Callithrix jacchus: one gene and its partner. The protein of the gene in region 1 purifies or fractionates together with the protein of each later gene. This does not show direct contact. Links are inferred from orthologs where the notes say so. Each region holds a gene or a part of one and is shown in the gene's direction. Other genes may lie near its edges. The genes, in order: ZNF346 and KRR1.

Evidence for each region.
Region 2: the proteins of ZNF346 (region 1) and KRR1 purify together in Homo sapiens (affinity purification with mass spectrometry; 3 studies listed by BioGRID and IntAct, with this or other methods). This does not show direct contact. The link is inferred for Callithrix jacchus from reciprocal best matches to the Homo sapiens genes ZNF346 and KRR1.

The regions. Positions count from the first base shown.
Region 1 is NC_133503.1:69,075,952-69,082,840, reverse strand, and holds the end of ZNF346 (zinc finger protein 346), read left to right. Parts: intron 1-361; coding exon 362-387; intron 388-688; coding exon of another isoform or gene 689-731; exon of another isoform or gene 732-779; intron 780-2,302; coding exon 2,303-2,430; 3' UTR 2,431-3,766; downstream 3,767-6,889.
Region 2 is NC_133510.1:78,156,428-78,164,697, reverse strand, and holds the start of KRR1 (KRR1 small subunit processome component homolog), read left to right. Parts: upstream 1-2,997; 5' UTR 2,998-3,033; coding exon 3,034-3,118; intron 3,119-6,406; coding exon 6,407-6,579; intron 6,580-7,340; coding exon 7,341-7,475; intron 7,476-7,651; coding exon 7,652-7,777; intron 7,778-7,860; coding exon 7,861-7,944; intron 7,945-8,270. UniProt on the Homo sapiens protein: Part of the small subunit (SSU) processome, first precursor of the small eukaryotic ribosomal subunit.

The DNA.
Region 1 (6,889 bases):
TGATTTCTTTGATAGAACCTTAAGAACATCTGGCTTTCCTGGTCTGTAGCACTCTGACTGAGGAAGTGTTTTTCCACTAGCCTGGAGAGCCTACCCTTTGCTGGCAAGAGTTCCCTCTATAGGTCATTATCAGATATGATCAGGCCCTCTCATTCATTAATCACGTATTTGTTGAGCATCTTCTGAATGGTGGTCTAGACAGACCCAGACTGCTCTCATAACCTTACAACCTGATGGGAGGCTATACAAGTAAACAACCAGTAACTGCAGCTTGTGATAAGGGTTTTGAAGGAACCAGGTAAACAGGTTCATGGTAATCTTGAAAATGACTAACAGTCATTGTGCCCCTCTTCTATTGCAGGCTGTACATCCAGCAGATTTTCTCAGGTAATCCTTCCAACCCTGAGAGGAACAGATAATTATTCCAATTTTATACATAGAAACAACCAGCATTGTAAGTGGTGATGTGAAGCAGGGTCATGATTCAAATTGAAGCCTGTCTGGCTCACAGCATGCTCCTCCCAAGGTGTCAGGCTCAGAAGTAGGTTATGGCACCATTGATATGAAGAGGATAGGACCTGGCCTGGAGGGTCTACATGGTTCTGTCCCTTCCTCTCTGAAGGGAAATATGTGTTATGAGCAATGTGCCACAACATAACCTTGGTTTTTGTTTTTGTTTTTTTTATAGGGAAGGGGTTTCACCATCTTGGCCAGGCTGGTCTCAAACTTGACCTCAAGTGATCTGCCTGCCTCAGCCTCCCAAAGTGCTGGGATTACAGGTGTGAGCCACTGCAGCTGGCCCCAGCATAACCTTCTAAGATGGGTAGCAGAATCCCCATTTTACAAACAAGGAAACTGAGTTTCAGGCGGGCAGGTCTGCTGAAATAATTGCTTTGACTTTGGTCATTTGTTTTGCTTTGCTCATTGAGCTGAATGATTTTAAAGGTGATGGAAATGCAGGGTGTTGGTATAAGAAAATGTCCTTAGTTCTCTCTACTCTGCCTGGAGTCTCCTTTCTCACACTGTAGATCATCCTCTTTACCTGTGGATATTTTTTTTACTTTGGGGAACTCTTGAAGGATAGCCTTGAGACAAGCCCCAGCAACTCAGCCTGGAGCTCACGCAGTGTTTCAGCATGCATACCTCCCTTGCAGTTTGGTTGATAGCAGTTACAATAGACAAACTGGAGCCAACCCAGAGCCCTGCCCTGGGGCTATCCATACCTGAAAGTGCTAGTGTTGTTCACTCTTCTCTTGCTAAACTTTCCAGCTCTATGACCTTGGGCAAGTCAATAAGCCTCTAATTCTCCCAGCATGGGCAATGTAGTGACACCCTGTCTACAAAAAATAAAGTTAGCCAGGTGTGGCAACATACACCTGTAGTCCTGACTACTTGAAAGGGTGAAGTGGGAGAAGAGCTTGAGCCCAGAAATTTGAGGCGATAGTGAGCTACAATGGCACCACTGTACTCCAGCCTGGGTGACTGAGTGAGATCCTGTCTCAAAATTTTTAAAAGTCTCTAATTCTTCTGTAAAGATAAAGCTATGGTTTGTTGAACACCTGAGTCAGTCTCATGAAATTCTCACCAAGAGGTCTGAAATTAGGATACCCCCTCCCAACCCCACCTTTTACAACCAAAGAAACCCTAAGTATCAGATAGGTTAATTAACTTGCCCAAGGTCACTTAGTTACTTGGAGTTAGACCTAGGATTCAAGCCTGTTTTACTCTGAAGCCCATTCATTTTATTCTGCCACTACCAAATGGAATGAGTTTATACAAACTCATTCACTCATACACCCTGTAGGCAGTGGTTTGGTATAGTGAAAAGGCATGGGCTACAGTCCTAAATCTACCGCTTAAAAACATACTTTGGGCCGGGTGTGGTGGCTCATGCCCGTAATCCCAGCTACTCAGGAGACTGAGGCAGGAGAATCACTTGAACCTGGGAGGCAGAGGTTGTGGTGAGCCAAGATCATGCCATTGCACTCCAGCCTGGGCAACGAGTGAAATCCATCTAAAACAAAACAAAACAAATCATACTTTGGGCTAGCCACTTCAACTTTCTGAACTTTAATTTCCTTGTATGTAAGATGAAGGTGTTGTTCTCACCTTGCAGAATTGCCATGAGGATGGAATGACTGAAGCTAAGCATCCGGCATTCTGCCAGCCCACAGTGGACCTCAGTGAAGGAAAGCTGCCTTGTCTATTACTCCAAGACCCTAGAAAGGCACTGCTATCATTGCAATAAGCCAGTACAGCTGCCACACACTGACCCTGTTCCTTTGTTCTTTCTCAAATACAGGTTACCAAAAACAGTGGCATCATCCCTGGGCCAGATTCCAATGCAAAGGCAACCCATTCAGAAAGACTCAACCACCTTGGAAGACTAGAGGTGTTTCTGCCCAGTGTCCCATGTTGGGCCAGCCATGAGCCAGCTTCCTGTGACTACTCAGCCCTTGGCTCCCTCTCACTCCTTGTTCTCACCAGGAAAATACACAGGCCTGAGGCAGGATTGGGCCACAAACAACCTCTGATTGGTCCAGGCTAATTCACTCCTGTTGCTCCCCTTTGGCAGGGGTCCTGTAGGTCATGATAGGGGAGTCAGGGGTATTGAGAAACTTGTGGTCTCACCGGGTGGTAGTTTGGAGGATGGCTTTCCCTCTTCCCCAACCCCTCTGGGCCATAGGTGCTGAGGCCCTAGCCACCTGTCTTTCCTCTGAAGGTCAGTTTTGGGCCAGTTCCTGCAACTAAAGAACAGAGATCTCCCTGGGCCCTAGACATTTCCAGTGAAACCTGGAACTTTTATACCAAACCTGGGCCAGGGCAGGAAACAGAGGAAATCACTTCTACATGGGAGCTTGGAGCTAATACAACACTCCGCCTTCCCCCACAAAGTGAAGGCTTTCCTGAGCCTTAGACAAGATATGGCCAGTTGTGCAGGTTTCTGCCAACTGTAAAGTGTCCTCCTGGAGCAATGACACAGTCTTGGTGGAGCATTGCTACTCCTCCTGCCCTGCTCCACAGTTCCTGAATGGTGCTAAGGATCTATAGCACCTGGCAACAAGCTGGGGCTGGGGGAGGCCTCTATGTCCACTGGGATCATGGGACACTCCAATGGGGATGGGACCTTTCCCCTCCTCCATCAGAGGTGCTCTGACCCAACATCACATGGGAAAGCGACCCACATGCAAGTCTCCCTGAGGGTTCTGCTCCTAAAGGCAAACTGCCTCATGCCAGCCAGCCATGAGGTTCATTGCTACCCTTGGCCCTATTAACCCTTTGTTTCCCCTTGTGCAGCAGACCACCTTGCCCAGGTTGCTGTGGTGCTAGCCTTCCCCATCATCCACCAGGTGATTTTTGGTTTCCAGAGAAAGAAATGGAGAGCTGATGCAGGTTTCTACAGTGAGGAACAGATAGATGTTCCCCAGGCCCCACACCCAGATTTATCTATCTTTGCTGTGTTTTATGGCCTGGGACTGACTCCACAGAGATAGATTTTTCCTTGTAGCTTTGAAGCAAGAATTCTGAGGAGTGTCACCATCAGAGGCTTCTCTTCACTGTGTCAAAGAAGCCCCTAGCTGCTCTCGTGGCCTCCTTCCCCCACTCCCTATCCCTTTACCTGTGAAATGCCTTTGCTTTGCATATTGTGTGTGGATGTGTGTGTGTGTGGATGTGTGTGGATGTGTGTGCTTAATGCTCTGTCTCTTGATCACTGAAGCGTCCAAATAAAGAATTACTCCCATGAGTCAGACTGCAACTTAACAAATCTAGGGTTTTGAGCTGTATTACTGTTAGATCTAGTATGTCTGTCTTGACCCCTAACCCCTACCCGACTCAGACCCCCAGGTCCTCAGTAGTCATTTTAGGAGTTGGGACAGAGTCAGGCACCCTGTGAAAGTCTCCAAGGTGCCCTGAACTCAATATAGCCTCATCTCATCCACCTTTTCCTGCCTCTCCTGTCACATAGGGCCTCACGAGAAGGTCTTTAACAGGTTTAAGCTGGGGATCTGCTTTGTGTTTGAGCGAATTATTCTGACTGTTATGTAAGAGAATACAGTGGGGTCAGGAAAGGAGACCGGGAGGCCAGTATGGAAACTGTGTCCAGTATGGCTTTCCAGGCTCATCACTCAGGGCAGAGACCCAGCCTTATTTATCTCTACTTTCTGATGTCCATAGTGGTGTGTCATGAAGTTTTATTGAATGAATGAGTTGTATGAGGAGAGATGTTTTTTTCCCCGCTCAGATCTTACGCAGTGATAGGTTTGTTTCATGGGACTTATCATAGGCCTGGTGATTCTTGAAAGAGCATTTTCCACGACCCAAAAATGAGCTGAGAAGGAATGTTATGGCCAGTTGTGGTGGCATGCACCTATAGTCCCAACTGCTCAGGAGGCTAAGGCAGAAAGACCATTCAAATCCAAGAGTTCCAGCCTGTAGTATGCTAGGATCATGCCTGTGAATAACCACCTCACTCCAGCCAGGGCAACATAACAAGAGTCCATCTCAAAAAAAAAAAAAGTGGCCAGGCATGGTGGCTCACGCCTGTAATCCAAGCATTTTGGAGGCCAAGGCAGGTGGATCACCTGAGGTCAAGAGTTTAAGACCAGCCTGACCAACATGGTGAAACCCCGTCTTAAAAAAAAAAAAAGTATAGCTGGGCGCGTGACTCACACCTGTAATCCCAGCACTTTGGGAGGCCGAGGTGGGTGGATCATGAGGTCAGTAGTTTGAGACCAGCATGACCAACATGGTGAAATCCCATCTCTACTAAACATACAAAAATTAGCTGGGCATGGTGGCATACACCTGTAATCCCAGCTACTCAGGAGGCTGAGGGAGAATCACTTTAATCTGGGAGGCAGAGGTTACAGTAAGCCAAGATCACACCACTAAACTGTAGCCTGGGTGACAAAGGGAGACTCTGTCTCAAAAAAAAAAAAGTATAAAAATAAATTTTAAAAGAAGATAGCTGGGTGTGGTGGTGCATTCCCGTAGTCCTAGCTACCTAAAAGGGTGAGGCAGGAGGATTGCTTGAACCCAGGAATTCAAGGCTGCAGTGAACTATGATTATGCCAGTGTACTCTAATCTGGGCAACAGAGCAAGACTCCATCTCTAAAAATAATAATTTTTAAAATTTAAAAAGAAGAATGTTATGGCCTCAGGAGCTCTTTGTCCCATCCTTTGCAGCCAAGTTTGAGGAAAGGGCCCAGGCAGCCTCAGCTCCCATTCAGCACCACTCAGCCCCTGCTTCTGGTCAGTTGTGAAAGTCTCTACCCAGCTCCAGGGGAGGTTCGCAGCATTCAGCTTCCCAAGATCAGACTGCCTCAGCAATTTCCCCCAGAGTTCTTCTAAGCCACCCAGTATGCCAAATTCAGCCCCATCTACTAAGCAAGGGAATGAAGGATAGGGGGGTGAGTCCCTACCAGTTGTGTGGCCAGCCTTGTTGGTAAGGGGTCCTAGAGATGAAAATTTTCTTGCCCTCGGGGGTTCACACATGGTTAAAGATCATTATGACAATGATAATGCCCAGGATGCACGAGCTGATTCAGCCAAGGGTGTAAAAAAGCTGGAGAGATTGGGAAACTAGTATTTGATCTGTATAACAACCTTTGAGCTAAGAGTTGATACTCCATATATAGGAGGCCAGGTGGGGTAGCTCACACCTGTAATCCCAGGACTGGGAGGCCGAGGCAGGTGGATCACAAGACGCTAGGAGTTCAAGACCATCCTGGTCAACATGGTGAAATCCCATCTCTACAAATAAATAAAAGTCATAGAAGGAACAAGGCTAAAAGAGGTGTCATGATTTGCCCAAGGTCCTGCCTCTAAGAAGTGACAGAATGGAGAATAGAATCTGGTTCTCTAGACTTGCTCTTAGAACCCTTTACAAGTGAGGACCAGAGTCAAGGCCCCTGCAGCCTGCCTCACCAGTCTCCTGCTAGTGCCGTGGTCTTACAGGGTGAGCAGCCACAAAACAGATGGATCAAGGCTCAGTGTTCATATTCCAAGTCCCTCCTTTTTTCTCATAATTTTGTCTCATTCCCAGTGTATTAGACTCTCATCATTAAACTGTTGGAAACCCAAATCCAAGCAGTTAGCTAAAAAAGTGAATATATTGATTCACTTAATGAAAAATTCAAATACAGTGATAGCTGGACCCAGACTCAGAGATGGGTTCATCAGGAAGAATTTTCTGTCCCTCTGCTTTCCTCCTCAGGCAGGTTCTCTAATAGGTGGCAAAGTGGCCACTGGCAGCCCCAGTCTTCTCTCCTGATACATTAGTAATAACAGTGGAAAGAACACCTTTTTCCATTAGTTCCAGCAAAAATTCTGGGATTGCCTCAGCCAGTTTAGTCCTGTTCTCATCCCTGAAGTAATCATTGTGGCTAGGGAAATGGCACTCTGATTTGGGGCCTGGGTCATGTGCCTACAGCCGAGTCAGCTCCACCTAAAACACTGAGAAAGGGAGTAGGGGCCAGGTGCAGTGGTTCATGCCTGTAATCCCAGCACTTTGGGAGGCCAAGGCGGGCAGATCACGAGGTCAGGAGTTTGAGACCAGCCTGACCAACATGGTGAAAGCCCATCTCTACTAAAAATACAAAAAAATTAGCTGGTAGTGGTGGCATGTGCCTGATATCCCAGCTACTCAGGAGGCTGAGGCAGAAGAATCGCTTGAACCTGGGAGGTAGAGGTTGCAGTGAGCCGAGATCACACCACTGCACTTCAGCCTGGGCAACAGAGTGAGACTCTGTCTCAAAAAAAAAAAGGAGTGATGCAACCCCAAAAGAAAGTTGGAGGGCTTTCTGGATTAAGGGGGAATGGATGCATGGGGAGGCAGGAACAGAAACAATGTCTACCGTACCTAGAAATTGTTTAACTATTTCCTTT
Region 2 (8,270 bases), on another chromosome or scaffold:
GTCTTGAAAAATAAAAAATAAAAAAGGGCTGAGACTCAAGGACTTTCCCAATCTAGTCTAGATTTGTGTCAAGAAACCCTTTAGAGATGTCAATTTTTCTTTCCCCTTTTAGTGTCATTTGAGTACATATTCTATTTGTTTACATATTTATGTTCAGATTTCCAAAGATGGTAAAGAAAAATGATGTATATTGTGATTGACTTACAATCGTATTGCTATTGAATCGCCATACTTTGAATTGTCTCTATACTGAGAGGTAACATAACATAGTCAACATTTTGATGAACATCTTTTCATGCAGGTGCGCACGTGCGCACACACACACACAGAGACAGTTTTATGTAAATAGGATCATATTATACATGCTATTTTATCATGGACATCTTCTTTTGTCTTTTTGCCTAGTTTCATCTTCTTTTCTAATCACTTTCATCTCTAAGTTAGCCAGTCTTAAAAGCTTAACGTGTATCCATCCCAATTCTTGTTCATTGTACAATCACATACAAATTCATATAATCATATATTATGCTCAGCACATGGAATATAACCAAATATTTAGAACAGTGTCTTGAACATTATAGGTGCTCAATAAATATTTGTTGAATGAGTTGTCTTAGAAAAGTGGAATCATATTATATATGCATATAATGTGTGTGTATGTGTATGTGTATGTGTATATATATGTTTATGTATCTGGCTTTTATTGCTCAATATTCTATGTAATTTTTTATATAGATTTAATTAATTATTATAAATGGTTGTATAATAGTTCATGGCTATGAAGGTAACAGCAATTTATTTAACTATATCTCTAATTGATAGTTGAAATGCTTTTACGTTTTGCCAATGTAAACAATAATAGCTATCCCCTATTGAGTGTTTATCATATGCTAAGTGGTTTTTTTTTTTTTTTTCACTTTACGTGTGTTAAACTACTGAAGGGTTAGGCTATTGTCCCCGTTTTAGGAAACTGAGCAGGCGTGGGTAAGAAACTTGCCCAAGGTTATACAGCCAGTAGGTGGCAAACTAGTCAGTATGGCTCCAAAGTATATTTCACTGAACTACTTCTATCGAAGGTAGTAATCAACACTATTGTACAAACACTTAAATTGAATGGTCCTTTATTTCTACTCAATAGTTTATCTGGCTTAGAATTATTGCAGAAACATATGTGTATTTATATGGCTAAATTGCTCTGCAAAAAGGCAGTAACAGTTTACATTTGCACCAGCAGTGTATGAGTGTTCTTTCCTCTAGCAGTATTATTTTTTAAATATATATTTATTCTTTTCTTTTTTTTTCAATCTGGTGGGTGAGAAGTATATTCCATTGTTAAGTCTGTATACTTTGTAGACAGTAGTGAGGTTGAACATTATATGTTTTTCACTCATTTGGATTTGCTCCACTAAAAATTGTTGTATTTGGGCCCTCCAGAAAAACAAAACCAGTTAAGTGTGTGTGTGTGTGTGTGTGTGTGTGTGTGTGTTTTATTTTTATTTATTTTAAAAATTGGCTCCCACATTTATGGAGGCTGGTACGTAAAAAATCTGCAGGGTAGGCTGGCAGTCTGGAGACTCAGAGATAAGACAATGCTGAAATTCAAGTCCAAGGGACTTGTGCTGCATAATTCTTCTTTCTCAGGGGAGGTCAGTCTTTTTTTTCTATTCAGGTCTTCAATTGATTGGATGAGGATTACCCACAGTATAGAGGAAAATCTGCCTTACTCAGAGTTCACTGATTTGAATGTTAATCTCATCCAAAAGCACTCCCACAGAAACATCCATAAAAATGTTCGATCAAATATCTGGATAACATTACCCAGTGAAGTTGACAATAAAAATTAACCATCACAAATATCTACTAATATGTTTTCCTTATTTTTCTATTGAATTGCTTACATCTTTTTATCACCTTGAATATTATTGTAATCAACCCATTAAATGTTTTGTGAATATTTTCCCCATCTCTATTATATCTTTTATTTTTCTTACACTATTTCTCATCATTTTAAATTTTAAATTATTATTTTGAATCAGTGAGTCACTGAAATTGAGATGAAAATTTGGACACCATCATTTTGATCATCACTATTGAGTTTCTAGTCTTCTAAGATGATTTTAAGAGATTTTTCAATATTTATTTTCAATATGTATTCAATAAATATGATATTTAGTTATTAGTCAATATTTATTTGAAATCGTTCTTTCAATTCTAATGCATTTTTGAAAGATGTTGAAATTAGATCATCTGTCCTTTTCCAAAAAAAGGAATCTAGAGCACACAGTTCTCACACGTGGAAACTATTGTTTAGAGGTTTTAAAAGTTTAAAACTTTCATATGTAATATTGATTGCAATGTTTAATTCTTAGAACTAGTCGAATTTATTTATTCCATACCATATTTATTTTTAAAAGTTTTCTTCGAAATTGCTTAAAACATAGTCTAAGCAAATTGTTGAAATATTGTTCTCATTTAATTTGACTGTCAATTTTAATTTTTAGTAAGTATATATAGGTACTATTTCCTCTTGTAAAGCCAACATATTTTTCACAATAAATAGTAGCTATTCCTGTCACTTCCTGCAGTGAGACCCATATAAATTATATTCTCGTATTTTTATTTCCTCCCGATATCTAGTGCATATTTGGCCATCATCTAAATATTCATCAAAAGAATAAACGACTTCCATGACAGCCTGGTAGCACTCCGCAGTCCGGTGGTCCAGGTTACAACGTGAGGCCGAGGAAACTACGGATTACTATCCAATTTGCCTGCACCGCTTGCTAAACTACAATTCCCAGTACGCAAACTCCATGGTTGCAGTGCATCCTGGGAGAAGGTTTCCGGCTCTTCAATTGGCCAAGTAGGAGAAGCTGTGGGTTGGGCAAAAACGCGGGCCTTAACGCACGTACGCACGGAGACTGCGCAGGTCTCCTCGTCTGAGTTCCGAGGAACTCATTTTGAGTGTGGGTATTTTAGCACGTAGGACTTAAAAACAGTTACACATCCGGCGCCACCGGAAGCAGCTTTAAAATGGCGTCTTCCTCGCTGGAGCGGCCAGAAAAAGCTGCTGGAAAAAGTGAATTTCGTAACCAGAAGCTGAAGCCGGATAACCAAGGTGATGTTATGTGGGAACCGAAGCCTGGGGTTTGTGGACGTTGAGTTGCGATGTTTCTTTCGTTGTTTGTTGACTTATAAAACCACCTGGAGCCTGTTCTTTGTAGTTAAGTACCGGAATTGCTGATGATTAAGATTGTTAGCCGGGCCCACCGGAACGACTAGCCGATATGGTGTCACCCACGTGTTCCTAACTATTTCTTTTGCTGAAGGGTCCCCCAAGCGAAGCTCTTGCGGAATGCGTATTCTGTAAAAGGATGAGGGTTGAGAAAATGTCCAGGGCGCTGCGGAACCTGGTAGCGCGCGGGTGGCCGAAAGTCACTGACGGAATGAGAAATAGGGTGAGGTGGAAATAGGTAGTCATGACATACAGGTGTGGACCCTGATAATGGAGTGAGATGTGGGGAAAGGAGCTGACATGCCCTTAGCTTTAGTTTGTCAGTAAAGAAATTTTAATAGATTTATCAATTATTCCTGTGTCATATTGCTAAAATATTAGACGACACAGTTCTTACTCTTTAGATTGTGCTACCTTTCAATTAACTCCTGCGTTATAGTCTGGTTTTACCCATTTTCTTCAGTATGAGTGACAGAGATAGTCAGAGAAATAGCCTGGGGACCTGCTCAACCAGGCTATAGGAAGTGTTAAAAACATCGAACTCTCAATTTAGATACATTGGGAAAGTAGTAAAGGTTTTTTTGTTGTGGCTCATTAAGTGGTTATGTAATGTAAATAGCAGAGGTTACAACTTATATACAGTTTAAATAATAAAAACATGCAAGAACCTAGCATTCAGACTACTAAGTAGAATAGAGCAAGCATTACTATACCCCTCAAACCCTTATGTACACCTCTCAGATCATATTCTCTTTTCCAGATTCAGAAGTAACCACTCTGAATTGTATTATTTTCTTTTCCTCTTCTTGTAGTCACGAAGTGGCTTAATTTTGCGTCATTTTCAATTTTATACATCAAAGTGGACTGTATGCATTTTTCTGTGTCTTCTAAGGTTTAGCTTTCTGTTTTTCAAACAGGGTAATACCCGTAGGTGTAGTTTTAGTCTTTTCACTGTTACATGGTGTTTCCTTGAATGAATATACCCCAATTTATTTTTTCATTTTACCGTTGGTGGACATTTGGATTGTTCACATTGCTTACAATTATAAACAATACTGCTAAAACATCGTGGTACATGTCTTCTGGTTAGCAAGGGTTTCTCTAGGTTATGAACATAGGATTGCAATCACTGAAGTGTAGGTTGTGTGTAAGTAATGCTAACTTTTTTTTCCAAAGGGGTTGTGTCAGTTTTGTCCCTACTAGCAGTGAATGAAAGTTCTCATTGCCTTCCATTCGTACGAATACGTGATATTATCCGAATTTTGAATTTCTCTAATTTTGGTAGGTATGAAATGGTATCTGGTTGTAGTTTTAATTTGCATTTTGTGATCACCTGTGAGGTTGCATATCTTTTCACGTGTTTGGGGGCTAATTGTACTTTCTTAATTGTGAAACTTCCTGTTTATTTCATTTGTCAGTTTTTTTCTGATTTTGGAGTGGGGAGTTTTAAAAAAAACTGATACATAGCCTTTGAAGATTTTAAATTGGATAGGGACTTGGTCAGGTAAGCATTGTAAGTAACTAGTTGCAGTGGCTCATGCCTGTAATCCCAGCACTTTGGAAAGCTGAGGTGGGCGGATTGCTTGAGCCCAAGAGACCAGCCTGGGCAGCATGGCAAACCATTTCTCTACAAAAAAATATATATATATATACAAAAATTAGCTGGGCATGGAGGCACATGCCTGTAGAACCAGCTAGTTATGAGGCTGAGGCAAGAGGATCAGATTGCTTGAGTCCAAGAGGTCTAGGCTGGGTGACAGAGTCAGGCCCTGTCTCCAGAATACACACACACACACACACACACACACACACACACACTAAATATAAGTCACTTTTGTAGAATGAGTTCTTTAAAGGATATTGGAGAGTGAATGGTATATGAAGACTAGCCAATTGTCTGTGATTTGAACCAGAAATAGCTAAGTGGATGTGAGTATATGCAGAAAGTTAAGCTGTTTGAGGTTGATAAATAGACTAATGACCTGCTTTTCAGACTTACTGTACTTCAGAGTCTCCTGTTGAGCATGGTAAAACAGACTTCTGTCCCTCATCCCAGAAATTGTGATTCAGTAGGTCTGGGGTGGGGCCCAAGAATTGCATTTCTTACAGACTTAGAGTTTATGCTGATACTGCAAGTCTGTAGATCATACCTTTGAGTATAACTGAATTAGAGTATAGCTGTTGAATTTCAGGGGTTCTTAAAATTCAGGACCAGGACTTTTAAAAATCAATGATTCAGGAGATAATTTATGACCCTTAGGAGGCATTTTCTTTTAGTGAAAGGAGTCCCAGGCTGAGTCAGCTTTGTGTTCGCTTAGGCAAGTCACTTAGCCTTTCAGACTGTCTTCTATAAAATGGTAATAATAATACAGATTCGTTCTAACTTCTATAGTTATGATGAAAGGCATATGGAAATAAGGCACTGAAAACACTTAGGAAAACCTAGAATTATCAGTGATTTTTTTTTTGAGATGGAGTTTCACTCTTGTTATCCAGGCTGGAGTGCCATGATGATCTTGGCTCACCGCAACCTCCGCCTCCGGGTTCAGACAATTCTCCTGCCTCAGCCTCCTGAGTAGCTGGGATTACAGGCACGTGCCACCATGCCCAGCTAATTTTTTTGTATTTTTAGTAGAGACGCGGTTTCGCCATGTTGACCAGGATGGTCTTGATCTCTTGACCTCCTCGGCCTCCCAAAGTGCTGGGATTACAGGCTTGAGCCACCGCACCCGGCCACCAGTGATTATTAACTGAAAGTATAAACTAGAATCCTCTTTCGGAAGTCTTACACACACACACACACACCCAGGTTCCATCCACTCCAGGAAAGTCAGAAAGATTAATTGTATTTAAAGTAATAGACAAAATGGCATTCAAATCTTCATGATGAAGTATGTGTTTCTTGAATACTCACTATCTGCTTGGCATATGCCAACTAGAGAGAAGAGGGTTTCTGTTTTTAAGGAACTCTGTCTTCTGAGGCAGCTGAAATGTGTACAGATAATTTTAATATAGTGAGTTGATGATGACAGGAATGTTCTTTGACTCTTAAGTAATATAAAAAGCAGGGGAAGAGGAAATGTAAGGAGTATTTAGAAGGCTTGTGAATATGTGCATAAAGTGTCCAAAAGACAGTTAAAATGTGATGTGTAACTGTTTTCCTTTCTATAGATGAATCAGAACTCCTTACTGTTCCTGATGGTTGGAAGGAACCAGCTTTTTCCAAAGAGGACAATCCCAGAGGACTCTTGGAGGAGAGCAGTTTTGCAACTTTGTTCCCCAAATACAGAGAAGCTTACTTGAAAGAGTGTTGGCCATTGGTGCAGAAAGCCTTAATTGAACATGTATGTGTATCTTATTTTAGACTTTGCTTTTGCTTATGTCGTTACTTTTAAGTAAGTGTATGTATGCTGATGTATTTTTTTAAATAGTGCTAACATAGCAGGTTCCTTTGGTTCCTTTGGTATTTTAAATAATTTAGGTAAGTCTTTCTACCTAATGATCATTTGTTTTTAATTTTATGTTGAAATATTCTTGAGATTATGCTCACAAGTGAGAAAATAGCATTTTAATTTGCTTTATTGAAATGTTTTTTCTGATTGAAAGTTGATGCTTTAAGTTTTCTAATCATTGCTTTTTTCTGAACCTATCAGAATTTGCTTTTGATTTGTATTTAGTCTGATAATCAGCTAGAAAAAGTTTGAAAGGGAAAGTCAATTCTTACTAATAGAGCAGATGGTAGACTGGAGTTGGGTCCAAAATAGGGAAGCTATACAGCTTTACATTTTTACTTTAGTCAGATTTTAAGTATGGCCTCATTTGGTCGATTTATAATTTTAAAATTAGAGGCAATCTATATTCAATGCTTACAAAGTATTCTAAAACCAAGTGTAAATGGTTTCAATTGCTCCAGTTTCTTATAGTTCATTAAGTATGAAAGTAATCGAGTATTCATTATTTATGCTTAATTACCTAGCTTCTTCAAGGAAGTAATTGATAGAAATTGAGAGGTGACAGAAATTAATAGGTTGGTTGGGATAGGCTTTATAATTATCTAAAATAAACTCATTTTTAGACAACTGAGTGTTTGTTCTTCTTTTTGTAGCATGTTAATGCAACCCTGGACCTGATTGAGGGCAGTATGACTGTTTGTACTACAAAGAAGACTTTTGATCCATATATCATCATCAGGGCCAGAGATCTGATAAGACTGTTAGCAAGGAGTGTTTCATTTGAACAGGTAAATCTAGAAGTAGAGACTTTGCTTTATTTGCATCAGGGTAAACCTATAGCATCCCATCTTTTCCTCCCTCCCTTCCACTATCAAGTTTTCATGTTTGTGCTTAGATAATGTTAGTGTGGGCTTGGAAAATAAATGTGATTGTAAAAAATGACTTTTTTTTTTTCCCCCAAAAGGCAGTACGAATTCTTCAGGATGATGTTGCATGTGACATCATTAAAATAGGTTCTTTAGTAAGGAATAAAGAAAGATTTGTAAAACGAAGACAACGGCTTATTGGTCCCAAAGGATCTACATTGAAGGTACTTGTTACTAGTGGAAAACTTGAGCCTTTTCTTTATTAATTTTTCAGAGTAATGAATTTTAACTTGTTCTTTTGATACAGGCATTGGAACTCTTAACTAATTGTTATATTATGGTTCAGGGAAACACAGTTTCAGCCATTGGACCTTTTAGTGGCTTAAAAGAGGTGAGAACTGTATTATCTTCAATTCATTTTCAGCATAGAACAAATGATTTGGTTATAATATAGTTTATTGGATAATATATTGCTTTATAATTTTATTTTTTTTTAGAATATACTTTGTTTGATTTGCCATTAGTAAATACTTTTTATGTCATGTGATTCAAGGGAATCAATTTTTGACCCTAACATGTTACGGCCAATCTTTGGCAACTATGGAGACATCTGTTTCTGAATCAGAAGGTCTGCATACCATCACTCCTTCCATTATAAAATTTAAATGGGCATGTAAGATCTTCAGTCGGTAGCATGTATCATGAAAAACATGATGT